Notamacropus eugenii: one gene and its partners. The protein of the gene in region 2 interacts with the protein of the main gene of each other region in a pairwise test. Links are inferred from orthologs where the notes say so. Each region holds a gene or a part of one and is shown on either strand. Other genes may lie near its edges.

The links.
Region 1: the proteins of FAM161A (region 2) and TRIM54 interact in binary tests that used the Homo sapiens proteins (3 or more experiments, as listed by UniProt). The two-hybrid records come from large-scale screens. The link is inferred for Notamacropus eugenii from reciprocal best matches to the Homo sapiens genes FAM161A and TRIM54.
Region 3: the proteins of FAM161A (region 2) and SSX2IP interact in binary tests that used the Homo sapiens proteins (3 or more experiments, as listed by UniProt). The two-hybrid records come from large-scale screens. The link is inferred for Notamacropus eugenii from reciprocal best matches to the Homo sapiens genes FAM161A and SSX2IP.
Region 4: the proteins of FAM161A (region 2) and KIFC3 interact in binary tests that used the Homo sapiens proteins (3 or more experiments, as listed by UniProt). The link is inferred for Notamacropus eugenii from reciprocal best matches to the Homo sapiens genes FAM161A and KIFC3.

Annotation. Positions count from the first base shown.
Region 1 is NC_092872.1:528,547,395-528,555,285, forward strand, and holds the start of TRIM54 (tripartite motif-containing protein 54), read left to right. Parts: upstream 1-4,878; 5' UTR 4,879-5,277; coding exon 5,278-5,445; intron 5,446-7,891. Other genes in the region: DNAJC5G (dnaJ homolog subfamily C member 5G), read left to right, coding at 83-195, 502-715, 882-1,047, 1,912-1,997. UniProt on the Homo sapiens protein: May bind and stabilize microtubules during myotubes formation.
Region 2 is NC_092872.1:642,870,924-642,878,013, reverse strand, and holds the start of FAM161A (protein FAM161A), read right to left. Parts: upstream 3,011-7,090; 5' UTR 2,933-3,010; coding exon 2,786-2,932; intron 1-2,785. UniProt on the Homo sapiens protein: Involved in ciliogenesis.
Region 3 is NC_092873.1:493,726,408-493,734,021, forward strand, and holds the start of SSX2IP (afadin- and alpha-actinin-binding protein), read right to left. Parts: upstream 3,006-7,614; 5' UTR 2,076-3,005; intron 1,932-2,075; exon of another isoform or gene 1,879-1,931; intron 1-1,878. UniProt on the Homo sapiens protein: Belongs to an adhesion system, which plays a role in the organization of homotypic, interneuronal and heterotypic cell-cell adherens junctions (AJs).
Region 4 is NC_092872.1:716,304,005-716,311,666, reverse strand, and holds the start of KIFC3 (kinesin-like protein KIFC3), read right to left. Parts: upstream 3,007-7,662; 5' UTR 2,868-3,006; intron 2,272-2,867; exon of another isoform or gene 2,119-2,271; intron 1-2,118. Other genes in the region: uncharacterized protein, read left to right, coding at 3,085-3,415, 3,819-3,929, 5,717-5,788. UniProt on the Homo sapiens protein: Minus-end microtubule-dependent motor protein. Involved in apically targeted transport. Required for zonula adherens maintenance.

The DNA of each region.
Region 1 (7,891 bases), about 110 Mb from region 2:
GCAGGCAAGTTTTGTTTCTCCCATGGCTTCAACTCCTGTGTGAAATTCTTACATCTGCTTCCCTGCTCTCTGGACCCAGAGAATGGCAGAAGCACCTAAGGAAAGGTATAAGGTGTCCAAAGCTGGAGCAACGCTCTATGAAGTGCTGGAGCTGCCTCCAAGAGCAAAACCTGAAGAGATCAGGAAAGCCTACAGGTCTGCACTTAAGATCTCCTGTCAAGCCTCTTGTATCCTCAAACCTTAGACCATCAGCCCCACTTGCCATCCACCGTTTTCAAATTACTTGACCCTCCCATTGAGACTAGGGGAAGGCAGAAATCCCCTTGTCAGTGTGGATCAAGGAAAAGAGGTTTTCCTGCTTTCCTTGTTACTGAATCTTAAAATATCTAGATTCCTCCCATGCTATCTCTATCCCATGTAATCCATTCATCTTACTTTCCCTTCTTCAATTTGGGCTTGTTGCTCCTCTTTGTGCCCTCCTTCATGGTCAATGGCTGGTAGAAAATTGGCACTGAAGTACCATCCAGACAAGAATCCAGAAGACCCCAATGCGGCAGAGCGGTTCAAAGAGATCAATGCAGCTCATTCGATACTCGCTGATCCTGATCAGCGTCAGATCTACAATATGTACGGTACCATGGGCCTATATATGGCTAACCAGTATGGCTCAGACACTGCCAAAATCTACCTCATTGTGACCAAGTGGTGGTTCAAGGTATGCATTCCTTTGAAATCCCTCCAGTATTTTGGCAACAGAGATGCCTATGCATACACTGAGCATGCTGCCCCATTGCTGTCAGCGTTAGGGAATTTGGGGGTGGGGGAGCATAGACAACACTAGAGAAGCTGTTGGACTGAAGTCATTCTCCCCAATCTCCCAGTGCCTTCTCCTCTTGTGTACACTTCTCTCTTGTTGCTGCTGCTGTTGCTGCTGCTGCTTTTGCTGTGGGATGAATGTACCACAAGAATATGACGATTTTAAGTGTAGAAGGGATCTACAAACACAACATGCAGGCACAGATGTGCAGAAACAACCTTCAAGGACAGGTGAGGCCAAAGGAAAGTGGCCAAGGTGAGATCTGGGCCAAGAGTAAAGGTAGGAAGGTCTGAAATGAGAGGGATCTCTGAACCTGGGGTCCCCTAAAGCTAGGAGAATGAGATCTGGGATGGGATCAGATTGAAAGGTAATCAGGGTATAGAATCTGATGCTTTTTCAAGGTGCATATAATTTGAGTGAATGAAAAAGCATTTATTAAGTGCTTACTCCAAGCACTGGAGCGACAATGCAAATAATGAGATAGTCTCTGCCTTCAAGAAACTTCTAATAGATAACACATTCAAAGAAGTGGTGTCCTGGTAAGGCAGCTTTGGTTCGAGGAGTCAAGGGGACATTGAGTTGATCTATAGAACACTTGATTGACACACCCTTTCCAAAAGCAGGGTGGTATTGTTGATTTGATTACTAAGCGTTAGATATGGAAAAGTGAGGGAGGAAAGGAATGCCAGTAACTCATATGGTGAGATGATCTGGATAAATAGCTGAATAAGATGAGGCACAGTATGGTCTAGGGCTTCCTGGATATATTCTTTATTGATAGTTTGAGTATGATACTTATCCTGTCTAGGGTCTTTGCTGAGTTGGGAGGTGAGCCTAAAAGAAGTCATAGATGAAGGTGGGTTAGGAGATATACTTTTTGATATTTGCTCAAAAGATAACCAGCTTTTAATTTTTTAAATTAAATGTTTGTCAACTGATTTGATTGATCAGTTTAATCTAAAAGTGATCTTAAATTTCTGCCTCATCGCCATCTCAGGATCTCAGGAATAACTTCAGTGTAATGGTATTAAGTATTAGATTAAGACCGGAATTGTAGCTCATTTAAAGAAATGTTTGTATTCCAAATTCCATAGATGGAACTGAATATGCTTTCTCCAATCTGAACCAAAAAATGGATGAAGATGAAGAGGCACAAAATGCAGAAACTGACAAACAATAGTGTTCAAGGAGAAGAGAAGAAAAGGGGCTAAGGCAAAAAATTAGTGAAAAAAGTATATAACTTTATTGTATCTTGATTACAAGTTAAGTAATAAAGGGTTTTTTTCTGTATACTTACTTTAAGGGTTTCATCTTAATATGGTACTTGCTTCTTCTGTTTCCAGATGCTGACCCTGTGAATGTGTCTTCTGCTGCACAGTCTACTGTACACACTGAAGAAGGGGACCTCTAACCCCAGTCCTGATCTTAACCCTGCTCCTGTAAGCACCATGAATGCTATAAGCACTGCTAAACTCTGGCCCTCTCCCTATGAGAACTCTTTCCCTGACCTTCACAGTATCACCAGATCTGGCTAGAATACTATAAATCCCAACACTGTAAGCACCATCCCTATGTAACTTTCCTAACCTGGCCCCAAATCTGAATACAGCTGGAAACAATACCATGTATTTCATGCCATCTCAACCTTGCGAAATCTTGGGCTGACAGAGCTGCCTTCTCCCCAAAAGAATTGTGTCTTGTTCCCATGTAACTTAATGGTAACCACTGGGGTCTGTGTCTCTAAACTGTCTGGGATAATGTCTCCCTCAGAGACAGCTGGTGGTACCTCTGAAAGAGCACTGGGTTAGAGTCATGAAGACCCGAATTCAAATTTGACCTCAGATATTTACTAGCTATGTAACCCTGGGCAAATTATGTAACCTCTGTTTACCTTAGTTCCTCAACTGTAAAACGGGGGAAATAATAGTACCTACTTCACAGGGTGGTCGTGATTATACATACATACATATATGTATATGTATGTATATACACATATATACATATATATGTGCGCATGTATGTGTATATATACATATACATCCACTCAGCACAGTGCCTAGAACATAGTAGGCACTATATAAATGTTTATTCTCCTTCTCCACCCCACACCCTTCAGGGCAGGAGCCACCTTGCAGGGTAGATTCTGTACTTGGACTTTATGCATGAACTGATGCTTCCCTCCATTCCCTTGGATCTGGAATCCCATGGCTGGGCTGAGTCCTAAGCTGACCTTCCTGGGGTGGGCCCCATCTCCCCTTGCCTCCTAGTACCCTTTGTATCTGAACCACTTTATTCCACTGTGACTCAGCTCTCAAGAATGAGAAGGAAGGAAGGAGAAAAGGTTACGATGCTTTGCCAAATACTCTAGTTTCTTTCTACCAGCATTCACCCAGCCTTACCCACATGGTGTTCTTGGGACATAGTCTGTCTTCTTCCCTAAGGTTCTTATTCCCAAGACAGAGGTGTTAATTGCATCCTGGAGGAAAAAGTACTTCTCACAAAACTTTCCCTTTATTATGTCTTCTGTGCCAAAGTATTGGACCCATTTCAGTTGCTTTCCACAAACATTCCACCAAGGGCCAGCCCATATAGCCTCCCCTTAACTTAAAGTGAAAGAATCAAGCACTGTTTTGGAGCAGGAAGCACTGGGATTGAATATACATCAATGAATAAAGAAACTTTGTGCAGTGGATTGGGGACAGAGAAGACAGCCTAGAAACAGTTTGTAGAGATGAGTACCAGGGTTCTGCTACCAGGGTTGACAACTTTAATGACTAATTTGGTGGTATTTGGCAGTTTTATAGAGCTTCGAGGTTATGCCTTTTCTTAGTGGGTTAAAGTTGTTTTCCTTAAGACCTTTGACCCCTATGCCCAAAATGGGTTACAAGTACCTAAATCTTCTTTATACTCACCTCAGTTCTTAACTTTCCCCCCAGATATGGAAGCTTTACTATAACTGACAATCTGTTCATGGGACTATATTTTCTCCACTGCCTATTTCTATTTATTTTCCTTGACTATATGTTCCCCCATAGTGCCAATGCTGAGCCCATCACATGAATAGAAGAGGGCAATTTTTTTCCACATTGAGAGAAATCCTTTCAAATACTAGGCATAAGAGAAGAAGAGCCTGGTCCATGAATCTATCCGGTCTTAAAAATGCACTCCAGGAAATAAATTTCAGGCCTTGATTGGGACTTCATCAGTGTAGGCAATAATGTCTGATTGATGCCTCACTGGTCAAATGGAGGCAAAGTTGGATTCTTTATGACTATGCCAGCAGAACCCAAGCTCTGCTAGGTCCTATCAAAGTTAGAAAGCTTTGAGTATAGGCTGGTGACATAAATTCTCTATATGTCTGAGGACTAACCTAGCTAAGGCCCAAGAGATTCATCATGAGCTTGGTCACAACAAGGTGATTCAGTTTTTTGGTCACAGTAATTCTGGAGGAGTTGTGATCTGTAACTGTAGAATGACTTCCACATTGATGAAATAACTTGTCCTTGAATCTAGGTACCACCAGTTCATTGGATATCAAATTCCAGAATGACTTAGGCAGAGTCCTGGGGGAAAACAGGGGAGGGACTATCTTTTGCCATGAATCTGATAAGATGTGGATAGAGAAAGGAGGTCGAGGGTTACTGTGGCGGGTCCAAGATATATCTAATTCCCATTGTCCTTGTCAAAACTCTCCAGTTCTTGGGCCTTCCCAGCTGCTGAGCCATGGCTGGATGCCTTCACTGGGATTATTTGTAGGGTCATAGTCTTTGTGTCCAGGATAAGGCCCAAACTGGAGTATGACTGAGTAAAAACCAATGGGAGCCCTTTTAGAATTGGTATGTGAGAGACTGAAGTATTCCAAACTCTTTTTCTGGCTCAGGTTTGCCCCCTATTCCCACAAAGGCTCTAGCCCCTCCTCCAGCCCCTAGTCTATGTGACTCAGGGTCACTTGTTTGGTGACAGCTGTGGCTCCCCTTACACAAGCTAAATTGGGAATAGGAATGTGAGAGATTGTGTCATTGAATGCCCCTAGTCTCCCCTATCCCCAAGTTAAAATTAGTCTCCTGCTTTAGGATTAAGGAACAAACAGCAGTGCCTAAATTGTGAGCAATAGTCGGCCATTTGGGGAGCAGGAGATAAGACTATCCCAGGAGTGAGGGGGGAGCCATCTGAAGTGTAAGGGCAAGACAAAATTTTCTTAATCTGCCTGGTCACTCAGAGTAGAAAAGTAAAGATTAAAAAACAGCTCTCCAGAGAGAGAAAATCAATTGGCTGCCTAGGGGCCACGAGGTGGATTGATTAAGGGACAGAACAAGGAGACAGAAACAACTTTTAAGAAAAATCTAGACAGGCTGTAGCAAAAAAAGGGGGGCAACAGCTGAAGACAGACTCACATAGCTGAGAGAATAAGCCAGGTTTGGAAAAAAGACCAAAGAGGGGTGGGCACGACCACCGAGGGGATGAACTTCGCAGTGGGTTTCAAGCCGCTGCTGGGGGATGCACACAGCATGGATAACCTGGAGAAGCAACTGATCTGCCCGATATGCCTGGAGATGTTCTCCAAGCCAGTGGTGATCCTGCCCTGCCAACACAACCTATGCCGCAAGTGTGCCAATGACGTCTTCCAGGTGGGCTCAGAGTCTGGGGTTGGGGGTGGTGGGGAAAGAAGAGGGGACCCGTTGATTATGCTATCAAAGTTGGGGTTTGAAAATTGGATCCACAAGTGCCACTTACCGTGGTACACTGCTTTAGATGGATAGAAGCTTTAGGAAAGAGGTAAGATGCATGAGGGTGGCCAGCTTGTGGCTGAACAGAAAAGGACCTAAGGTGTCTAAGCAGATCACAAACCATAAGAATGTTGACAACACAGGTTTTACTTGTTTTGTATGGTGCTTAGTAGAGTGCCATGCACAAACAATCAAAATACCAGACAAGATAAATACCAGATTTGTGGGTTAGGTGTTAAGTATGGTTAAGTAGATTTAAAATTGGTTGAATGACCAGTCCCTCAAAGTAGTCCTTTAATAAAAACATATTGTGAAGCCAAACAGATTTCCATATTGACTCTGTCCAAAAAAAAAAAGTCTAAATCTGCACTCTGAATAAGTGCATGTTTCATTTAAGAATCTTCTAGAATCATGATTGATCATTGTATTTATCAGGGCTCCTAAGTCTTTCAAAGTTGTTTGTCTTTACAGTCTTTTTGTTATTGAACCAGTTGTTCTGGTTCTGCTCGCTTCACTTTGCATCTACATACAGTTTATACAATTTTCCCCAGGGTTTTCTGAAATCATCCTCTTCATCATTTCTTATAGCACCAACTTCATCACATTCATACATCATAACTTGTTTAGTCATTTCTCAATTGGTGGACACTCCCTCACTTTTCAATCCTTTGCCACTGCAAAATGATCTGCTATCAATATTTCTGTACATCCTTAGCTAATGTTTGTTCTACTTAAGATTACTCTCTCTATTAATTTACCCTCCCTTTTATTCTCCCCCTCCCAATCTTTCCTTTCCTTCTTGTTTCCCTGTTGAGTGAAATACATTTCTGTACTCAACTGTGTGTATGCATTTTCTGTCCTTTGATCAATTCAGAAAAAAGGGTCAAGTATCACCAGCTTCTTCCACCCCTTCCTCCTTGTTTGTATAGATGTCTACTTGGGTACCCTGATGATGTGAGATTTTCCCCATCCTTTCTCTCCTTTCCGTTCCTTTTATTAACCACCCCCTTTTTGTTCTTTTAAGATAAGCCATAACAGAACTACTCCCAAGCGCTCTGTCTAATTAGATGCCATCTCAGACCACTGATAATGATAGGGAACTGAAGATACGTTTACATCATTTTCTCATATTATAATGTAAACAGGTTATCCTTATCCCTTATGATTGCTTGTTCATGTTTACCTTTTTGTATTTCTCTTGACTCATGTATTTATTTGTACTTCAAATTTCTATACAGCTCTTGTCTTTTCATCAGGAATGCTTGGAAGTCTTCTCTCATTAAATGTCCCTTTCCCCCCACCCCCCTGCAGGATTATACTAAGTTTCATTGAGTAAATTATTCTTGGTACGTCTACTTGGCAAGTGGATCATATCCTCTTTTTTTCTGGAATACTTTGTTTCCAAGCTCTCTGCTTCTTCATAATGGTGGTTGCTACATCTTTTTATGTCTCCTCATTCTTCCAGCCTGCTTCCTGACTTTAGACTTTATGTTAGGGTTAGATCCTGCACTCTTCTGGAGAAAAATGCTTGAGCTGACCTTGAATCCTCTAGATTCTTACTATTGCATTCTTGAAGGTATTGAGTTTTGTGTTATTTCAGGATCTCAAAGTAGATCTTCCAGCTCAGTAGAAGCTAGGGATCTGCAAGCTTTTTGTGGTCCCAAAATCATTTGCTCTAAGGCAAATCTGTTCTCTTCCTTCCTAGTCTGAGCTCTGCAATTTCCTGACCTAGATTTGGATCTGAGCAACTCACTTGTGAGCTTGCCCCAGTTTTAATTTCAGTATTCTACTGTTGAATTCAATTACTATTAGCCAACTGGAAAATTCTTCTGGTACAGAGGGACAGAACTGCAAACTCCTTTGGTGATTCCTCTGCAGGCTTCAGATGGGACTGGAGACTGGAACAGAGATCCTTCTCTTCTCCTGAGGTCAGAGCCACAGAGCTGCTACTTGCTCAGTATATAGTCTCAAGTCCACAACCACTCCTCACCCTGGAATACTACTCCTAGTGCAGGTCCCCTCTACAGTCAACCTTAGATCTGTGACCTGAAACTATGTAGTGAGCAAAAAAGTTGCCATTTGACAGCTATTCTTGTACCCTATACACTTGGAGGTCCATTTACTGGATTTAGAATTTCTTCTTGCTCTGGTGTACAGTCTCTCTTTGCACTGGAATGCTTTATCCAGGATAGGCCCCCACAAGCAGTATCTCTAGATCTTTTTGTCTGCCTCCCTGCATTGATAACCTGGGCTGAAAAAAACTTTTTTTTTAATTTAAAGATCAAGATTCAGATCTATTTTCAGGTACAGTGAGAGAGAGTGAACTTGTCTATACTTCTTCCTACTA
Region 2 (7,090 bases):
TCTCCAATCTCATCCTTCATACAGTTGCCAAAGGGATTCACAGGCTGTCCCTTCATGCCCCAAGTGCCCTGCCCTCAAACCAAGTTTCTTTTGGAAATATCTGTATGTACTTCCTATGTATTATATATCTCTTTCAGTGTGTACATATGTATCCTACTATAGTATTTAAGCTCCTTAGGGACAGACTGTTTTGTCTTTGTATCCCCAGTGCCCAGCACTGTGTCTAGCACATAGTAGGCATGTAGGAATAACAGATTTCTGACCACTCTCTACATCTGTAAAATGGTGGGGTTAGTCTCAGAGGATCATTTCAGTACTAGTTCCATGTTCCTGTGATAGTCAACATGTTTGCTGAATTCAGCTGTCACCCTGCTAACTCCTCTACTCTCTTTAGTGTTTCTTCTCCAGGTATACACTACCCACTGGCTGGCTACAGTCTACTCCAAGCCCCCATATCACCCTTTTAGTTTTTAGAAGGGCTATAACCTGAGAGGTCATCTAGTCCAGCATCACTATACAAGTGAGGAAACAGAGGCCTAGACAGTTTAAAAGAAATACCCAAGGTCACACAGCTACTTAGAGGTAGAAATGGCATTTGAATTCAGGTCTTCTGGCTCCCCTACCCAGGGTTTTTGCTTCTATACCACATTGTGTCCCTAAACCACTTGTGGTGCCCTCTTAACTCAGTTAAGTTAAATTTGTATATTGCAAATTCTAAAAAACTTAGATTAAAATTAAGCAAACTGAACCGAAATAACTATACCTCATAGGGTCATAAGGACCAAACCTTCAAGTGAGACCTATTTATTATTAACTGCCTTCAGATTTAAATTTTCTAAACTTTTGGTTTTTGGTAGCTGAGAAGCTTCAGACATATGGCATGAATGCATTCTAAGCTGTGAGTGGAGATCTATACAAGTAGACTGATGGCTTTTAGCTGGAAGTTTTAGATGGACACCTGTTCAGTAGTGTATGTGAAAGAAATAAAGGGAAGTATATTCATCATCCAGTAGATAGGTGTTCTGGACACATAAAGATACTGAAACCTAAGCACAGTGCAGCAGAAAAGGCCCTAGCTCTGTAATGAGAAGACTTGGGTTCAAATCCTGCCTCCAGTGATTACTATCTGTGGGACCTTGGGCAAGTCTTTTCACCTCGATGAATTTCGATTTCTTCATCTGGAACATAATAACAGGGGGCCTCTCCACATTTTTCTGCCAAATGAGTTCCTAGATGGGTTCTGAAATAGAGGGGGAAAGCAAGGGGCAAATGCTGCCTTCCCCCCAGAACCCATGGTGGCCAGGGTGGGCTTATCCCCTTGCTGCCATCCTGATGTATTGGTCCAAGATGCACACAGGCTGCTGGCCTACTCAAATGGTTTGGGTGACATGGAGGTCACCAACTACCGTTTCCAGTGAAAGGAGACGTCCAGCAGGCCTTACCACCCACCCTGTTACTACATCCTGTCTGTCATCTGACCTAACCACATAACCTTGGAACCCTTGGGTCTTGTTGTCTGCCCCTCACCTCAAATCCGTTTAGGGATTTGGTCTTTGCCATCTGCCCTGCAGCTGAACTTTCAACACGATCACATCATCTCCCCTAATTAGAGTAGGAGATCCCTGAGAGCAGAGACTGTCTAGCCTTTTCTGCACATCTCCGAAGGGCTTAGCACAGGGCTTGGCTCACAGTTAACACTTAGCATTTTTTCATCCATCCATCTGTGGACCTCTAGATCCCTTCCCAATTCTAGATCTACGATTCTGTAATCTTTTTGACCAAAAACAAAATCTTAGGCACACAAGTGTGAGAAGAAGAAAATGACATATCACTAATTAATTCAATGATTCCTTGTTCATTTTTCCATCTGTTTTTTAGATTGAACTCTTGGTATTTTCCACAATACAATATCCAACTTGTCTTCCTCTGCATTTTTTTTTTTTTGCTAAATAAGACCCTACTATCAGTAAGCCTCATATAATACATTAACTTACATAACTCTCATTAGACAGCAGACTAGAGGCATGGTCAGAGTTGTTATTTTTCTACAGGCTTTCAATTATGAGGGCACATCAAACCTCAAGTATGAAAGTGGTGCAGCAGAAACAATTGTTCCAATACATCAGAGAAGTACTGAAGTCAAATAAAATAGTAATTTGTACTCCCTAAAATAAAATCAAGGCACTGCATCTAAATATACAAGAATTGTTTTTTAAAGCCGTTAGGTACTGCTTGTCAGTCAACAAGCACTTATTAAGCGCTTACTATATGCCAGGCACTATGCAAAGCTCGGAGATTAAAAGAGGAGTCCCTGCCTTCAAAGTACTCACATTCCAATGCTGGGGCAATATACACTTATCAGACATCGATGGTACAGATAAAGGCAAAAGTAGCTCCTGCCCTCAAAGAGCCCCCAGCCTAAAGGGGGAATTAACAACTATATCTGTACAAGATACCTCTGGCGTAAATAAATGGGAGGGGGGAGGGGTAATCTCAGAGAGAGGAAAGGCTTCTTGCCCAAGGCGAGCTTTGAGCTGAGACTTTTAGAAAGCCAGAAGACGAAGATAAGGAGAGGGAGAGCAGTTTAGGCATGGGGGAGGGCACAGGCAGTGCAAAAGCACGGAGTCGGGAGATGGCATGCTGGGATCCTTAGGCCACCTTCCTCCTCCCACTGAGAAGCATTTCGGGAGAAGGAAGGAGGATGACGCGGTCCGGCCGAAGGCCAGGGTCAGGGCCGGGGGTCTGCGCAGGGTCTCCGCCCCAGCCCCTACCCGGGGCCCCCTACCTCCCCCTCCTCCGCCGCCGTTTCCTCCGGGGTCCCGCCGGCGCGCTCCCGCTCGTAGAAGTCGACGCGTGGCGACCTGGAGCGCGGCTGCAGTGGGGCCTGGAAACCGAAGGAGGCGAGCGCTGGAGCTCGCCGGGGAGCTGCCATGGCTCCCGGACGTCGGCGCTTGCCGGCCCAGGTTGGGGCAGAGCGAACTCTGGGCCGGCAGGGGGCGGCTCCTCGCAGGGGGCGGGGCCGTTACCGGGACGCTGTCACCCGGGACGCCGCACGCCGCGCTACGGGAGCCCTCGAGGGACCTAAGGCCTCGCCTCGAAGCCCAGCGCAGGGAACCAGGGCTCCCTAGGGACAACTGCGAGCTCGTGGGGGCCTGCCCCCTCCCACCCCGCTTTTTTTAACCGTTGGCTCAAGAGTGTCCCTCCCCTCCCCTCCCGCCTCCAGGTCTCAGCGTAGTTGCCGGGGGATTAAGGACATGACGACTCGTGCGGATAGCCCATTAGAGGGCGCCACACAGCGTTCCTCGAATTGGTCTCCTTTGGGAAAGAAAACGCGCGCGCGCTCGATTCGGCAGGCTGCGCGCCCCCGCGGGAAGATGGTGGCCGCCTCAACCGACAGGGCTGCCGGGTGGGCGGGCGAAAGAAAAGGTATTGCTCCTGAGGATTGGCCAGCGGGAGCCAAAGAAAGGACCAACCGGGGAGCGACAGCTCTTTGTCCCTCCTTCTTTCGCCCGGCAAGGCCAATGGCAGCCCCAGGTTGTGCCGCACTTTGTCCGCTTTTAGAGAGAGGGACTGCGGGTTTCGTTTAGGAGGCCTCCTTTTACGGCGAGGCTTGTGCATAATGTATCCCTTTAGCGGCAATGTGGGGGCTCAGCCTGGGTAGCCAAGGCCAGGAAATCCTCCGGGCCTTTACCGCAGCGCTGGAAGATGCGGCCTTCTGCCCGCAGTGCGGGGCCGAACCCGGGCCCCGGATGTTGGGCGCAGCCAGCCCAGCCCTCCGGGGCCCCGTCGTCCTCGGCGCCGCCTTCCCTCATCCATTGGTGCCCCACCCGCCTGGCAGCCCCGATGAACTCATATTGGCTCTTCAGGAACGTGTAGGCCTGTGTCGGTTCTGATCCGTGTTCAGACTCGGCCTCAGAGGCCCGCTAGCTGTGTGACCCTGCCCGTCATTTAATGGCCTTTTGCCTCAGTTTCCTTATCTGTAAAATGAGGGTAATAATTACACATCTAACGACTTTGAAGACCAAACGAAAAGGATGAGCACAGGGACTGGCACACAGTAGATGCCAGTGCCAAGCGCTTGCTGACTCTTAAAATTGCTGTTATTACCGGGCAATAGCAAGTCCAACCTTCCTACGACAGAGGCGCTGTTGGAATCCGAGGGAGCGCCTGGAGAACAGAGCAAGAGCAAGGTGGCTGCTGATTAGGACCTTTGGGCCATGCTGGAGGTCCAGGAACGGCCGGTCAACCTAATCAGTCAATAATACATCACGTGGTACAAGCATCCCCAGCACTGATCTTCTAAACTGTTTCCCAGGGTTAGGCTTTTCACCCAAAAACGAGGCACTGGCTGATAACCAGATAGCAATACATGGGTGGGAAGCCAGGGATCAGAACTTGTGGAAAGTGATTTGAGGGCCAGGGTACATTCCTATGTATAAGACTATGCAGGAACAACTCTAGGGACAAGAGGCTGTGGTGGAAATCTGAAAAAGGAAACTTTATAACTCTTACAAGTTTAAATTTTTAAAAGAAAAATTGTATATAACTAGTTAAACTTACTTTGTAACCATAATCTCAATACATAAAATGTAACATTTTAGTCTAAATTAGGATTCTTTGTCCATTCTCATTCTTTTTTTGCTCTTAGATGGTCAGTGTGTACTGATCATCTGGTTCTTTTGTTACCTTTGTCAAGTTTTAAGATTAATACAAAGTTTTTTTAAACAAATAACCTATGTAGTTCAGGGATTCTTTGTTCTTCAAAAGTCTCAAAATCAGACTTCTGTGTGATCCAATTGTTTAACTGCCAAAATTTTGAAGTGCAACAGTCTCAAGTCTGTGTGGTTACTAGGCCTGCAGATGTTTGCTGACCAATTAAGGCAAATAAATGTGAAGGTATCATGGATGTTTTTCAAAGAATACCCAGATTTCCACTCTGCTTTGATAACCATATTAAAATGGTTTCTAGGACCCTTTATGTCCTCCACTTTACCCTCTTCTTTTGTAAGTTCTGCAAAGACCCTACCAACTGGCTGGAGACCAGTACATCTGTTCTTGGGCCACTGCTCCCTTGTGGTTTTACATGTATTGTCTCACTCGTTAGGATGTAAGCTCTTAATAGGCTGAGATTTTTCTATTTGTATACCCAAGCAATTAGCACTGCGTATAAGCACTTAATAAATGCTCTATCATTCCTTAATGAGAATGTGGGAATAGGACAAATGAGGCTTAGTACTATAGAAGTGCATAAGCTTGAAGTCAGTGCCTCAAGCCAAGATTTACTTAGCAGTTTGGCAATCATATTTTGGTAGAAGACCGTCTTATCAACAGAGCTTTGGGTTTTTTAAAATACTCAATGTATCAGGTAAGTTGAAGTACTGTGGGATGTTTTGCAAAGGTAATTTCATATAATCCAGCATCCTTAGGAACACCAAAAGCTTCAAAAGAAAATGGAGACCAATGGTCTTTTGAGGCGCGATGCCTTCCACATCCAGAGAAAGAACTACGGAATTCAACCGCAGCATGCAGATCATTTTCTTTTGTATTATGTTTTGGTTTGTTTTGTGATTTCTCCCATTCATTTTGGTTCTTCTATGCAACATGGCTATGGTGAGGATGTGTTTGATAGGAATGTATGGGTAGAACCTATGTAGGATTGTATGCTGTCTCAGGGAGGTGGGGAGGAGGGAGTGAAAAAAAAATCTGGATTTTATCGTAGTGATTGTAGAACAATGAAAAGAAAAAAATGGAGGTAAAAAAAGTAACAAATTGTGAACTTCATCAATCACACTGTTGATGTTTTTGCTCATGTGTGCCACACAGCTACTTGGTAGGATCAGAGCTCTAGCCTTTCTCTTATCCCAAAGTATAACTGGTAAATATGAAAGGTTACTTACTCCTTTAAATATTCCCATTTATGTTAAAATATACTTGCAGCTTGAAATAAGTTCTAAAAAAACAAGTTTTTGATGTTTCAGGGTCTTTTCTCTTCCACACAAACACTACAAATGATTTATACTGATTACATGAACTATGTGAATGTAAAGTGTAGGATAATGAAAGGTTTAATTTCACCATCCAATTTGACTAAATGTTATGTTATAGGTGGCTTAATACAAGATGACAAATTACTGCAAGGGTAACCATTTTATACTCCTAAACAACTAAAAGAATAAACAAAATAATGATTTAATCTAGTAAAGATTTAATAAAGGCTTTATATCAGAGAAATCACATTTTTTATTTGCCTTGTACATTCTTACCTTTTAAGAATTTTACTTACTCAAAAACTTTTCTACATTCTCACATACAGAGTACATTCCAGAAAGCATTTGAGACATAAGCATTGTAACTTTAGCTAACTGTGTACTCAAGACAAGTACTTAAAATTGTGGGGTCCCCTCCTAAAATAGCATGGCATGCCTGGGATAGTAGAGATTTATTTTCTATGAGCTTTTCATGCTAGATACAAGCACCTTACGTTTGGAAAATCAATACTAAATAATTGTTAACCATAAAAACACAACAAAAGTAGACAATTTAAGCCAAGGGGAAAAATCACACTAATTGAGATAGCTGAATCAATAATACGAATACAGGTTATGTAGTACCTAATTCAGATGGATAACAATATTTTTGCCCTCTAGCCCTGTAGTCCCACTCTCCCACGGGTGAGTTCTTCTTAGAAACTACATTTTGAGAAAGGAACTCAGCCATCCTTCATTCACTGGCCTTCACCAAAATAGCCCCCCTTCAAGGTTTCCAATAGAACTTTTTGGCTCCCTTGTCCTGGTTCTCTTACATTCCAAATGTAAGGTAAGGACTTAAAGGTAAGGACTATCTTTTTGCTTGTATATTCACCCCCAGTGCTTAACACAGTGGCTAGCACACAACAAGCCCTTAAATGCTTACTGACTTGACTTTTTTGCTAACTGGAAAACAAAATCCTCAAACAATCTGCCCATCTATTTATAGTCACCTCTGATCATTCTTTAAACTTATATAATTTTTCTTTAAATTCGAGGCAAAAAGATCACTTGTAGCGCTGAGGAAAAAAATGAGTGGAATTCAATGGCACACTCAACAAACA
Region 3 (7,614 bases), on a different chromosome or scaffold from region 2:
GTGAAGAAAACAGCAAACTACTCCAGGATCTTTGCCAAGAAAACCCCAACTGGAGTCATGAAGAGTCAGACGCAACTGAACAAAAGCAAATTATATACTTTAAGTAGTACACGTTGTACTCTAAGTCTAATATGTTTTATAGTACTCTTAGTATGGAATATTACATAGCATTGAATAGCGTAACAATTTTATCACAGAACTCTTAAACATACTATGTTACATATTACAGTGCTTGAGTTTTTATATCATAATTACATATATATTATTACAGTAATTAAATACGTTGTAATATTATGGTGTCCTAAATAGTATTTTATATCATTGCAGTACTAAAAGCACATCACGCTATATAACAAGCTAACCCTAGTACGGTACCATTCCAGTACCCTCTGGTAGCATGCTACAATATTATTACAGCACTGACTATGATATCACATTATATAATATCACGTTGCCCCTTGAAGTAGTCTAATGCCGTATTATCTAACCGCTCTAAGCTGTAGGCCACATTAGGATCAGCGCAGCCCAAGCAGAGTACCGTTAGATAAGCAGGACAGCGTTATACAACACGCCGCGTGCCACAGCATGACTACAGCGCTCCGAGCGCAACGCCACGTTCCCTGACACCTCACTGCCCAGGTGCCCACACTCTATAAAACCGCGCGCCAGGGCAGCCCCGCCGGCCCGGCACTGCACGTGGCCCGGCAGCACCCTCCGGCACCGCTCGGGAGCCCAGCACGCCGTGCGCTCGCAGCAGCACCCTAGTGCGGCCCTGCGCCACGCGGGCCCTTCCCGAGCTTTCTGTGCTCCGAGCGCGGCCGCCTGGCAGCACGCACCCGGCTGCTGCAGCACGAGCCTCTGGCACCAGGCCTCGTTCCACACTTCTCCATCTGCTCGCGGCACCCAGCACCGCACCACATCGCACGGCCGTGCCCGGGCCCGGCGCGCTGGGCTCGGCAGCCGCAGCACGCCAGGGCCCGGCTCCGAGCGGTGCACCTAGCCGAGCCGCGCAGCACAGCACAGCACCTCTCCGAGCCCGGGTCCTCGTTACACAGCCCCCACGCCCCTGCCCCCGGCCCCCCGGGCCCCCCGACCGCGGCCAGCCCGGGGCAATGCCCTCAGCCCGCGGCCGGCCCCCCCCCGAGCCCCGGGCCCCCGCTCTGAGCCCTACTCGCTCGCCCGACACCGCTCCGAAAACACACAGCAGAAGGACGACTCCCGGCAGTCCACTATCGCATCTCAGCCTTCCAGAGCCGAGCCGCCTCCTCGCGGCCCCCCCGGGCCCCGGCCCCGCGCTGCCCACGACAGGGGGCCTCCCCGGAGGGAGCCGGAGGGGCTGGCCCAGGGCTGGGGTCCCCCGGGCCGCCCCCAGCCCCAGGGGGGCTTTCCCACCGCCGAGCCTCGTCCAGGCCACCAGGCAAGCATGGGGCTGCCAGCCTCGAGCGGAGCGGCTCCGACAGCAGCATCGCCGCGACTGAGGGTCCTCCCAGGGAGACCCCTCCCCACCGCGTCAAGGGGATCCTCCCACTCGTCCCTCCTTTGTCCCTCCAGCAGGGAGGGAGCGAGGCGATGGCCCTGCCCACGCCGCCTCCCCCCACGTCGATGCTCGGCCCTTCCTCCCTCCGGTGTCTGGCACCTGTCCGTCGCGTGGGTCGTGCCCCCCCCGCCCCCGCCCTCCCTTCCCCCCTCATCTGGAGCGCTCTCCTCTAGCGCCCCTCACCCCTGCAGGGCGGGGGGGATGGGCTTGGGGGAGGGGGGCAGGAGCCGATCTGGGCCTCGGGGCCCACCCCACCCCCCACCCCGGGCCAGCTGCCCCAACGGCGCCTCCCAGAGGGGGAGGGGCAGAGATCCAGGTGCCAGGGCGGCGGCCACACTCACCTCCCTGCCCTGCCCCCACCTCGCTGCATACCCAGCCGCAGAGAAGGCACTTCTTCCCACCCCCCCACCCCCACCCCAGCCCCCCACCTCCAACCCCAACCCCCTCCCCCAACCAATGGTTTCCTTTTCACCCAGGCTCTTGGGCCCTTGTTGGGCACGTCACAGTGACCCCACCCTAAGGGGGGGGGGACGCTCACCAGTCATGGCCCCCCCCATGGGCGGGGGGGGGTGCGTGGGGGAGGGGGCTCCTTGCCTTACGACCACCAGACTCCCCTCTGCAGCTACAATCCCCAACTGCCAGGCCCGAGAATGAGGCGCCTCAGGCTGAGACTCCCTCCTGCAAGCCCCGCCTCCTCTACTGTCTCCCCAGCTTAGGCTCCGCCCCCTTCTGCGCTTCCTCCCCTCCCTAGGGCCGCAGGTTTGAGCTGTTCCCACCCCTCCCCCTCGCCTTCCACCACCTAGGCTCCTTCCCATTGGTTCCCTCGGTTGCTAGGAGATAAATAACGGGGCCTACTTGACCTGATTGGGCCTCCCCATTGGCTCCACCCCCTTCCCCTTGCACTTGAAAAGTCTTATTCCCTACACTCCAGGCTTGGGATGGGAGCGCAGCTGCAGCGACGCACCTGTTAGAGCCTGCGAATCCCTGGGAGCGCTTGTCCAGGCTCTTCCTGCTCTCTGCTCCACTCACACTCCAAGTCCTTGCTCGGGATAAGCAAGAAAAGGCATTTCTTGGCTTTGTTTTCTAAAGAGGCGAAGCGAACACGCGCCAACAACTCTAGACGAGAAGGTTTTTTTCCTCTTCTGGAGCCCAACCATGAGCTTTGGCAAAGGGAGACCGACAGGATGACAATACTTGACTTCCAGAATTAGGTCAGGCTCCCAGGACGCCTGGATGCAGACTCCAGCCCCAAAGGAAGAAGTCAGCACTCCAAAAATAGACCAGAAAGGCTAGAGAAAGAAAGGAAGAGCGACTCCTGCCCAGAAAAAAATTGGACAAGATGAGAGACGTGCCTCTGAGAGTGGTAGAAGCAGAAGAGATGCCAAAGTTACGCCTGCACAGTGAAAAAGTGTCGACCCTACCCATTTCGGTGGCTTGGCATGCCAGAAATATGAAAAACAAGGATTCGATGCGCAAATCTTCTTTTCGATTAGCTTCTGTGTGCCCCTATATCTGCTCTGAAGGGTGAAAAAACAAGTCGAAACACTCCTAAAGCAGAGGACAGAGGAATTCGGCAGGACAGGGATGGGAGCTTTAAAATAAAATCCGAGATGCCTTGTAAAATGCAGAGGATGGTGAATTTTATTGAAGGAAAGGAAGAGGAGGCATGAAAATGCAGGCTTCACATTTTCGTAGGATTTTTGGCAGTTTGCTGTAACTAAAATAAGAAATCGGGACAAGGACAAAGGAGTTCGTCAGCTTGAAAAACTGTTTCGGGGCTTTTTTCCAAATCCGAGACTTCCCGTAAAGGTATAATAGAGTAAGAAGAAGAAAATGGAGCTGTGAAAAGTGCACATTCCATCCCCAAAAGATCTTCCAGTTGGCCCGACTTGCGACTTTGGGGAATGGACGATGTTGGGAGCGGGCAGTGGTAGCATCGAAATATGGCATCTAACCGGTGGCACGTGGGAATAGGGTTCTGAGTGGAAAATGGAGTAATTCTCTTACCTTCCAACCCCCTCCTTCTGATTTGGGGATGAAAAAGTGCAAAAAGAAAGGAAAAAGAAGAGAAACTTGGGAGGTGTACTCCAAAGAGTGATGCTGAAAAGAAAACTGTCCAAAGAACCACCAAAATAGCCATCCCGGATCAAGATCTCGATAAGCCTCATCTACCTGTCTGGATAAGTCACAAGTCCATAAGCACCTACTATGTGCCCAGCACTTAAGATACAAAGAAAGGCAAAACCATGACTACTCTCCTTTTAAAATAACCTCAAATACACTTAGTACTTTCTTTGGGCTATTTTCCTTTCTTAAATAGTAACACGTTAGGTGTTACTGTAGCCAAACATGGGCAAACATAAAAAGTCCAATAGGTGAATTTAACCATAGTTTCCCGTTGGTAATGATGAACCATTAAGGGTAGGGCAAGGAGATGTAAAGAAGCTAAGGTCAGCATATTTGGGGGGTTGCCTTCAGAACACATTGTTTGTGAAGTGATTCTTCTAGGCGACATTGGATAATGAGCTGGTCTTAAAACCAAGTCTTTGACCCATATTGTGTGACTCTGGGTAAGTAATTTAACCTCTCCACACTCAAGGCAACTCTCTTAGGACATAAATTGTCAAGAAAGTACCCATTGGTATTACTACGGGGTGCTTCCTCTTCTGGGAGTAGTTAAACGAATTTGAAATCACAGGTCTAGGCCTTTTCCCTATTGTTAAGTGATGGAGAAGCAGCCTCTGTCATTGGACAAATTTGTTAGGAAGTTTTTCCTATATTAAGACAAAATCTGTCTCTGCAATCTGCCTATTCCTCCACTTTGCCCCAGCTCCGGACCAAAGAGAACACTTCTAATCCATTTTGCACATAACCACTCTTCAAATCCTTGAAGACAGATTTCCTGTCACTCCAAATTCTCTTCTCCAGACTTAGTTCCTTCAACTGATCTTCCTTTGGCATAGTTTCTAACCTTCTTACCATAATAGACAATCTCCATCAAGCAACTGTCCATGTTCCACCAGAGCTTATCGAAATATTCCAACTGATCAAAACAGAAAGTAGCATGATCAGTCTCCCCCATATTCTTTACGCTCTGCTTCTCTAAATTCTACATAAGATTACATTACCTTTTTTTTTTTATCATCCATATCCTATCATTTGTTGACTCATATTGAGGTTACTGTACACCAATACAGAATTTTTTCACTCATACTATTGACTATTCATCCTTCCTCTGTAATGGTGGTTTTAGAAATGTGATATTTCTGCAGTTTATTTTTTAAACTTGCCCAAGTGAATGGTTTTTAAAAATATTTTTACTTCTATCTTCCTTATTTTACTTACTGAGCTTTTTCTTATTAGATCTTGCCCATCCTTCCAGCTTGTCAATATTAAATCTTGATGTGTCACCCACCCCTCTCCAGCTTAAACCTGCTTAGTGGACATAGGAAACTCTCTTATTCCATCAGATTGTTCATAGTATATCATTTACATTTCTCTTATCTATAAAGATATCATGATAATTTATCAACTGCCTGCTAAGGCTTAAGTATATCGTGTCTGTGGCATTTCCCTTATCCACTGAATCAATCAGAAAAACGAACTGAATTTAGTTTAGCACAAGTTAATCTTGATAAACCTGTGCCTACTCTTAGGGAACATGATTTTTCTTTCTAAATTGTTATAAATTCTCTCTTTATTAATATATTCTGGAATTTTCCAGAAATCAAAGTAAGGCTCACCAATCAATCACTTGATGAATTATCCTATTTCTTTTTTGGAAAACTGGGACCTTAATCCCTCTCCAATCCTGTACTACTTCTCTCATTTTCCACAATTTTCTAAAAAATTGGGGGGTGATTACAACTCAGTGGGCAATGACACCTGTTAGTTCTCCTAGTATTCAGAAATGTAGTTTATCTGCACTTAGAGTTGAGCTTATTCGAGGCAAGGAGGCACTTTCTTACCATTTCCTTAATTATCATGGATTTCAGTTCCTCATTAATCATTTTTCTTCTATCTGTGTCCAACTGAAGATTGTTCTTCCTAGTAAAAATAAAATAGAAAAAATGTGTTGAGTAGTTCTGTCTTATCTCCATCATCTGTTCTTTTTGTTTTCCTTAGCATACTTTGAAAGCTTTTGCTTGTTCTGAGCTTTAGTACACCTAGCACTATTCTTGTAGGACCATGCTACTGTTTTGCATTCATCCTCAGTAAACTTCTCTTGCTTTCATCTTCTTTCATCCCTTTTTTGGAGTTCAAGTTGGTCCAGAAGTTTTCTGTGCATCCACATCACTCTTTTAAGACTTTTCTCCCTTTTATTCTTCATCAGAATCACTAGCGTTTGTGTCATCAAATTTTTTCCTTAACAGCATCCCATCACTTTTGATCCAACTTCCCCTATAAAATTTGAAGGAATGGGATCCTATCTATACAATCTGTGAAATCTATTCTTCCCAAGTTCAGGGTTTGCCCTGCATTCCTTCCCTTACTTATCACAAACTCTAAGATATACTGATCACTTCTTTCCAAGGTTCCTATCACTTCAACTTTGGCAGCCAACTCCTCTTTATTGGGCAGAATCAGTTCACAAATAACTGGGTACTCTGATTTTAATGACTCATACCAGTTATCTAGACAGAAATAGCCATGGTGTAGAGGAAGGCAAGGCCATCAAAATACTGCCTTCTTACAGAGGCTAGCCTGAGCAACTAGCTAGCTGATCTGCGCTATCTCTCTCTCTCTCTCTCTCTCTCTCTCTCTCTCTCTCTCTCTCTCTCTCTCTCTCTCTCTCTCTTGTCTCTTTCTGTCCATTTTCAATGTCAACATATCTTATTTCCCTTACTAAATCATAAAGAACTTGTATAGGACTACCTACCTATGTCTTATTCAGATATATATTCTTCACAGTGGCTTGCACACAGTAACTCCTCAGTAAATTTTTATTGAATAAATAAATGAATTGATGAATGAAGCCATTGTCAATTATTTAGGATTCCCCAGCAATTATTTGTCACCACAGCTTCTGCTCCTGAGCATACACAAATATAAGTAATAATGAATATACTATAATTGTGTTCTACTCTAAATTACGTCATCTAATGATTCTATCAACAACCATTCCAGGATACAGTGTGAGGAACAGGTAAATGGAGGAGAGCTATTCCCATAGAAAGTTCTAGCTCTTTTTGCTCTGATTCAGTGCTTACCAAACAACCTTCTGATATATAATCACAGACTGGAATAGGCTGGGGATCTGGACTGAGTCATCACCATTTAAGAGTATCTGTGCATGATATTTTGCCTTCAGGTTTAGGCCACCTCTGCAGGAAAAACAGCTTGGCAAATAATCACGAAGAGAACTGAACGTGGGCTATTTCATTTGTCTGTTTAAACATGCTCAGCATCTTTAGTGGAAACCGTTCTGTGAGCCAGTAGAAGCAAAGAGAAAGTTTTTATTAAGCTAAAATGATAGTATGAGTGAACAAAGTGGTGAAATATGAAGCAAGAAAGAACCTGAAATGCCCCGAATATGATTTGAATTATAATACATAGGAGATCATATCTTAATACTATCTAAATTACATTTTTTCCTTTTCTCATTTACCACAGACATTAAACACACACACACACACACACACACACATTAATAGACCGAAGTTTCCAATGAGTAATAGTGTTCTAAGAAAATTTCTAATCTTTTCCTGTGTTTTCCTACTTAATACAGAAATACTTTGTTTTATGTTATAGATTCATTGTTTTTTAAAAAGTATGTATTGAATTTTTATAAATCAAATCATATAATAAAATTCTGAAGGCAAAAAACAAAATTATTCCGAAAACTAGAAAAAAAGTAAAGGTGAAATAAATTACCTGAGTTATTTGCGAATGAATACAGAAGGATAATGCTGACCTGCCCTAAAGTCCAGAAAGAATTCAGGTTAGCAATGATTGCACAAGACAGAAAAAGGGGTTGTTTTTAACATTTTTGTCTTTGTTTTTGCATTAGCTATGTTGGAATTAAGGAAACGCCCAAAGGAGGGATAGTCTTATTGCCCAGGGGATAGTACAAAATG
Region 4 (7,662 bases), about 73 Mb from region 2:
AGTTTTGAGCCAAGAGAACAAGACCGTCCCCTACCCAACAACCTTCCTAGACCTTTTTAGCTTAATGATGTCCTGGACCAACTTTCAGCCTAAGACAAGTACCGGGCCAGAAACCTAACCAACATGGGTGTGAATGTGCCCCTAAACATAGGCGGATCCCAAATCTGGTTGGAGGAGAAGGGACTAGAGAGATTCCTATCAGAGGCAGCCCAAGGCAGCAATCTGTATTCAGCATGCGGATGGGGCGCTGTGGAGGTCAGGGTAGGCTGGCCAAGCCATAGAGCCAACCCACGGCCTTGTTTCCAATTAGCCTCAGAGAGCCACTAGCCTGGCCTATTTCAAGGACACAATAAAAGACCAGCTACTGACGAGCAGGTTGCAAGAGTATGTACTCCTTGAGCTTAAGGTACTGATAAGCTGGGCTGTGGGGGAAGGGTTGGGGGAGGGTAGAGAATGTACTTTGGTCTAATGCTCCTGTCTTAGGAAGCCGAGATCTGAAATACGGACTTCAATATACTGACTCTGTCCATCTGGTCAAGGAAAAGGTCTAGACGAGTGTTAGAAAAATACTATTGACAAACAATTCTACAAGTTAAATACCTCATGTATGGATGTATGACTCTGGGCGAGTCACTTTTTGTGCCTGTTTCCTCACCTGCAAAATGTATTACAATAACAGCACCTACCTCACAGGGTTGTGGTAAGAATCAAACAACATATCACGTATAGCACTTTGCAAAACCTTAACATGCTATATTAATGCCAGTTTATATTATTATTAGGATATTATTATTCAACGTGTTAGACACCACAAAGACGGACAAACTATGTAACCTGCTTCTGAGGTTACAATCTAATGAGAAGAAAATCTGCAGAAATGAAAAGCTGTGATAAAACTACAGTATATTAAGTACTTTGACCTGGCTAGTCCACGTTTGTGGAGTTGGGTTCAGTTCTGGGTGCCAGACTTTGGTAAGGCCATTGGTAATCAGGAAGGCATTCTGAGAGGACCTTGAGTATATATACCATATAAGGATCAGCTGAAGGAACTGGGAGTGTTTAGGCTAGAGAAGGGGAAGACTCAGTGGCAAAGCAATGGCTCTTTTTCAAGTATCTGAAGGCCAGCTATGAAAAGAAGGATTCAGCTTGGTCTACTTGGCCCCAGAGGGCAAAAATGGGGGCACAGTGTGTGGAAAGAGGCAGATTTAGGCTTCATATAAGGACAAAACTTCCTAGTTAGGACTATCCAAGAATGGATGGGCTGGGTTGGGTGGGAATAGGTTCTCCCCGAATAGAAATCTTTGGACCTTAAAGGTCGCGGAAGACCTTTTGCTGCAGGAAGGATTCTCAGGTACATGGTGGACTCAGTGGACTGCCTCTATCTCTAAACTCCTTGGATTCTGTGTAGTGTGAAGGAGAGGCCAGAAAAAGATCCCCTTCACCTGGTTAGGGCCAGGTAAGGAAGGTTTCCTGGAAGAGGTGACACGGGGCAGGTCCTTGAAGAAAGAAATGCAATTCCAAAGATGGGCAAGAGAGGAGGAAGAGTCCAGATATGGGAGATGGGGAAAGCAAAGGAACAGAAATGGGAGAAAACAAAATTTATAAAGAGACCTAGAGAAATTCAACTGGACTGGAACACAGTACATGAATAAAGATCAAACAACATTCATTTAAGATAATGCTGGAAGGGTAGATGGGAGCCAGATTATGGAGGCTTTGAATGCCAAGGTAAGGAATTTATGCTCTGATAGCCACTGAAGTTTTTTGAGTAGAGAAACTGCTATGGGCAAAGGCACATATCAGGTGGGCAGTGGAATTAGTGGGACAGTTTGGAGAAGATTAGAAGAATGGAAACCAGGAGATTATTATAATAGTTTAGACAGAAGAAATAAGGGCCTAAACTGGGGTGGTTTCGGTGGGAGTGGAAAGGAGGGGATGGAGATATATGGTGGAGAAAATGCAGTCTTACAAAAGACAGACGGGACTAGGCAGAAAGGAGACCCCCGATCGCAAGGCATCTGCCTGCATAAATTCCAAACGGACAGATCCCCTCCTTTGAAAACAGTCTCCCAGAAGACTCTTCACCTGGCCCTCTTGCATTTAAACCTTAATAACTAGCCTCCGTCCTGGTAGCTGCCCAAGAAAATCGAAACACGTCGTCTGCCTGGGACCCCTCTTCAACGCGTCCCCGGGATGGACAGGGAGCTGAGAATGCGGAGCCCCCAGCTCAGCACCAGTATTTCTCCAAGTCCATCAGAGCCTCATTTGGAGGTGTGCACCCCCCACCCCCCAGAGGCAGGCTGCCTCACTCTTCCACTCAGATCACCCAGGAGGGTCTCAGTTATCGATCCCCACCTCTCCCCACCCCCAAGGTACACAGAGACCAGGCTAGTCCGCCCGACTCAATCCAGTAAGGGAATTTAAACCTTGGAATCTCGGTAGAGAAGGCTTTAAAGCAGAAATGAGCCCCGCCCCTCTCTGCCCAACTGCAGCCCTAAGCTTGCAGCCAGGAAAATCCAGGGGAGACTTATCTCGGGGTTGTTTTCAAAGCACATCCCTTCCCCCGCCCCCCGAAGCCCCTCCAGTCTCAGGCCGCTGCAGCTACCTCCCTCCAGCACCCGGGTGTGCCGGACCGGGATCCCCTAAGGGGGATCTCTGGCAGCCAGAGCGGGGTGTCCTGGGGATGCAAAACTGGGCAAGGGAAAGGGATCCCCAGGCGTAGCCCCTCCGGCGTGAGAAGAGAGAGCTGAGCGGGAGCCGAGCTGGAGACTGGAAAAGCCTGAAGGTGGGCTTCCAGATGGAGCTGGGGGGCCCACGTCCCACTCCCCTCCCCCCCAAAGGCGGAGGCATCAGGGCCAGTGACTCACCTGGTCCCCGCTGCCCAGCCCGGGGTCCCTCCGGGGTGGCAGCTCCCCTGCCCCCTGGGGAGGAGCTACAGGGCACTGCCCGCTCTGGCATCCCCGTGGCCGCCCGGCCGCCCGGTACGAAGCTGGAATGTCACACTGTCGTCTCTGACCTCCCCCCCCACCCCACCCCCTTACACTTTCCACAGGAAATGATTAACTCGAACGGCTGCTGGTTCCCATGGTAACCGGCTCTCAACACTTGGAGACATTCTTCGGTGCTGGAGGCGGGCAAGCAGCCAGAGGCTGGGGAGAAGAGCTAGACAGGGGAGCTGGGGGGCTCCTTGGGTCGTCCAGGAGCCCTCCCACCAGGTACGGGGCCGGAGTAGCGGGCACACAAGTGCCTGCATGCGCGCTCACGCAGGCACATGAGTGCACACCCATGCACACTCGTATGGACGCGTGCACACACGCACAGAGCAGGGCTGATTCTCAGAACGTCCCCTTCTCCTCGGTGCCCCCACCCACCCCCCCAACCCCCGAACCAAACTCGTGCCAAGGCGTCAGAGCAGGTAAGGAAGAAAGACACAAGCCCCTTTGACCTCTAAAGGGAAAAGGGGGAGGACTGACCCCCAACCACTCCTGGACCAGCCGAGGGGTCCCAAGAGCAGCTATTCCCCTTATCAAGCCCCCAGACTAAATCTGCGGCAGAAGGAAGGGATTAGGAGGACCTTAAACCCAGGAGACAAGAATGACAGCTGACCTTAGGAGCCCCAACTCAGGGAGCCATTGTTCTTTGTCTCCTAAACAGTGCCGGCATTTTATTCTGGAGAGAGCAGCAATATTTCCCCTCTGGGGTGTGGAAGGAGGAGAAGAAAGAGACTTCACATGTAGCCTGAATGATGATTCTACTGGAGATAGAGTGGGGGGGGGGGGGGGGAGGGATGGGCCTAGTGTCCCCTCTTTGCTTGCCAGGTATAGAAGACAGAATAAAAGACCTAGAAGATGCTGAGAGTCACCCACTTCAAGGCTGGTTTTGTCCGCTGCTGCTGCTGCTGCTGCTGCTGCTGCTGCTGCTGCTGCTTGGTAGGAGAGAGAATTGTCTGGATTTGGGCCCTGGGCTGAAAGTCAAGAATCTTGATCAAAGCAAAGTCCTGCCTAGACTGCAAATTATTTTAGCCATCAGAGCCTCTGTTTTCTCAAATGGAACATAATTTGTCTATTTAGAAAACATAGTAAATATACTTGAAGAGGAGGTACCAAATGTCCAGCATTTGCAGGTTCATGAGCATTCGCTCTTCTGACAGATTACACCTCCTCTGAAACTTAGTAAGTGAGCTTTGAGAGTTTCAAAGACCAAAAAATGTTTCAGCCTACCTCCAACTCAGAGATGGGCTCTCCAGATTTAGCTAGGTTGCTCTCAGATACAAGAGACAGACAGTCTCCAATTTTTTAAAAGAATTATTTATCTATTTTCACATACAGCTAATATCTTTCTTTCCCACTGTCCCCCTCACCCCGCAACTGGACAGTTAAAAAGGAAAAATAAAACCTATCATAAATATACACAATCTGCAAAAACAAATCCTCATGTTAACCAAGTCCTAAAAGATATGGCTCATTGTATATTTTAAATGGGGCACTCTGTGGCCCAATGGATAGAGTGCCTGGCCTGAAGTCAGGGAGACTCCTCTAAGTTCAAATCTGACCTCAGATACTTCCTAGCTATGCGACCCTGGGCAAGCCATTTCACTCTGTTTGTCTTGGTTTCCTCATCTATAAAATGAGAAGGAGGAGAAAATGGCAAACCATCCTAGTATCTTTGCCAAGAAAACCCCCAGTGGGATCACAAAGAGTCAGACACAACTGAACAGCAACACATTTTAAATCCAACCCCTCTCTGGCAGGAGGTAAGTGGCCCACAGTATCTTCAGTCCTTTGGGCTCCCATTCAAAGTCTTTTTCAAATGGTAGCATCTGCTCAGGCATCTGTAATCTTTGGGAACTCCTGGTCACCTCCACATCACAGTAAAACATTTGAGCCAGTCTAGTAGACTGGGAGTGGACTCAAAACACTTATTGCTGAGGATCCTCCACAAAAGTTCTCCCACCAGGTCTGATCAGGACCCACAGATGACTCTGACTTCTCACAGACAATGACAAGGAACTATCCACCAACTCCTGCAAGTCCACTAAAGGTAGAAATGGTACAAGTACAGGCCTAACAATAGACTGCATGATTCTCATCTGAGGACCCAGATAGCTAAATTCTCTGAGGTTGCCACTGAGTCATGGATTTTTAAGCCACAATGACTGAAATATTGTAAGGAATCTCATACATTTTCTTTTTAAAAAATTTTTTTTCCTTTGTAATCCTATGTATTTTATTTTAAACATTTAAAAACTTACTCTGAAGAGTCCATAGGCTACACTAGACTGCCAAAGGGACCCACCTCTCTCTCCCTTCCTCCCTCTCTTTGTTTCCTCATTCTCTCTCTCTCTCTTGTTTTCTCTCTCTCTCTCTCTCTCTCTCTCTCTCTCTCTCTCTCTCTCTCTCTCTCTCTTTCTCTCTCTCTCTCTCTCACACACACACACACACACACACACACACACAAACAGACACACAAATTTAAGAACTCTGGTCCAGAAGGTTCAAATTAGGTGAGTTTTTTGTTCTAGAAGGATCCCCTGATAGGGAATTCCTCTGCCAATGCAGGTCTTCACCGTCTTAGCAGTTGAGAGTTAGCCAGACCTCTGAGGAGCCAAGAGAATTGTCCTGAGTCCCAAAGTCGGTATATCTTCCTGTGTCTGAGGCCATTTCCATCCATTGCTCCATGACACCCCTCCTTTTTGTTTTGTATCTCTTTTTATTAGGTGCCATGCTTTCTGAGAGTAAAGCTTTATGGAAGGAGCCCTTGGCTGGTGTGATTGAAAGAACTGGACCTGGTACTTTGGGGAGTTATCTTTAAAGTCCAGCACTAAAGACCTAGCTGTATTTGGGAGGTTTGAAATTTATTCGGATAGCATTTCTACTATTATTAGTATCAAAGAGTTTTTAAGAAGCTAGGTAGAAAGGAAAAGAAAGACAAGGAAGGGGGAGGGAAAAGCATTTTCTGAATCCAAATTAAGATGGAATCTGGTTGGAAATGCTGAAAAGAGATATTTCACACGTTTTACTTTTTGTCTGTATTTTTCTGGAGGTGAGCTTCACTAGAAAGTATAACCTAATGGCCATCACTACACCAGGCATCTCACTAATGGACATGTTGGGGATGGGGGTGGAACTTGTCCTCTTCCTTATAATTACCTTGGAAGAACATGGCAAATCCCAGGGCACATGTTGCTAGAGCCAAGAATTCTATTTGGGGCAGTTCAGAAGACCTGGTTCACAGGATGCCAATGCTCACTTTTCCTCATTGCCACCCCTCCCATTCATAGACATGATGCCCTCATGTAGTTAATAGATTAGTTCATCCCTAAGTGGGAGAGGTCTGAAGTTTGAGTGGGTCATCACACAGGCAGCTGAGGGGCACAGCAGATAGAAGACCGGACCTGGAGTCAGGAAGACCAGAATATATAAATATATATTTGCAAAATGGAGAATTGAGGTCATGTTCCAAATAATTTATGTCCAAAAACTTAACCACTTTCACTTGAAATATATCAAGTTCATTGCCTCATGTACCCCCTCTTCGTGAGTAAACACTTCTGTTTGCTGTAAAACATACAGTTCATTTGCCCACTGAGCTCTCTGTTTCAACGGGAAATCTCTACTTTTCCCAGCTCTGTGGCCCTTCTATCTGGAGGCTCCAAAGATGTGCCTTGACAGTGGAGTCTTAGGAACAGGAGCTAACTGGCAGATATAATATTGAAGGTCAACCGACCTTGGTTTTTATCAGTTCCCAGAGAGAAAAATGAAAGGAATGCCAAAGCGTGCATTCATGTAGATAGGTGCTTTAAGCAATGAGTAATAAAAAGATTTAACAAAGATAATCTGGGGCGGAGAATACAGGCTAGAAAAGTAAGTAACTCAACCAGTCTATTTTCCTTTCTTGGCCATTCGGAATCATACTCCTCCCAAGGAAAATCTGAGCAGTAATCTCGGTGCTAACCCTCAGCATTTCCGTGCCCTTCTTTCCTTTCCCCAGAATGATTTGTAATGCAGTGTTCATACCAATGACACCCATTATTTAATGAATGTTAGTTCCTCATTCTTTCTTTCTTTCGCATTCATTCCTCTCCATCTGCTGCTCAAATCTAGCTGAAGATATTTTTAACCAATCTGCTTTTAGTGACAATTTACAGTTTTGCCTTGGATTAAAACTCTTATCTCCCCTCAAGGCCCAACGCAAGGGAGACTACCCAGAGTCTTCCATGGACTCTGCCCAGGTCCCTTCAGTCAAAGAGATTTCCCCTTCCAGAATTTCTCAGAGAATTTTATATGTTTCTCTTTGGTTTGCATTTATCACACACAGCACAGTGCCAAGTATATAATAGATACCTGGTTGATTGACTGATTATCATATTCTGACCTGTCATGTGTTATAATACAGTATGTATTCGTACTGTATCCACATTAAATCACCTTTCCTTGGCCATCTTTGTACCACCAGAACCCCACCCTAGTATTTCCCAACACAGAAAGTATATACAGGATATGTACAGTCAGAGACACTTAATTAATTAATAATTAGGATGTTTCCTTATGGTCTGTTCTTCAAGATTTATGATCGTAATGGTATTTTGTATCATTGACAAATTATTCCATTCAGAAAGTTGATCAGTCAACAAGCATCTATTAAGCTCACCTTTCCCAGTCT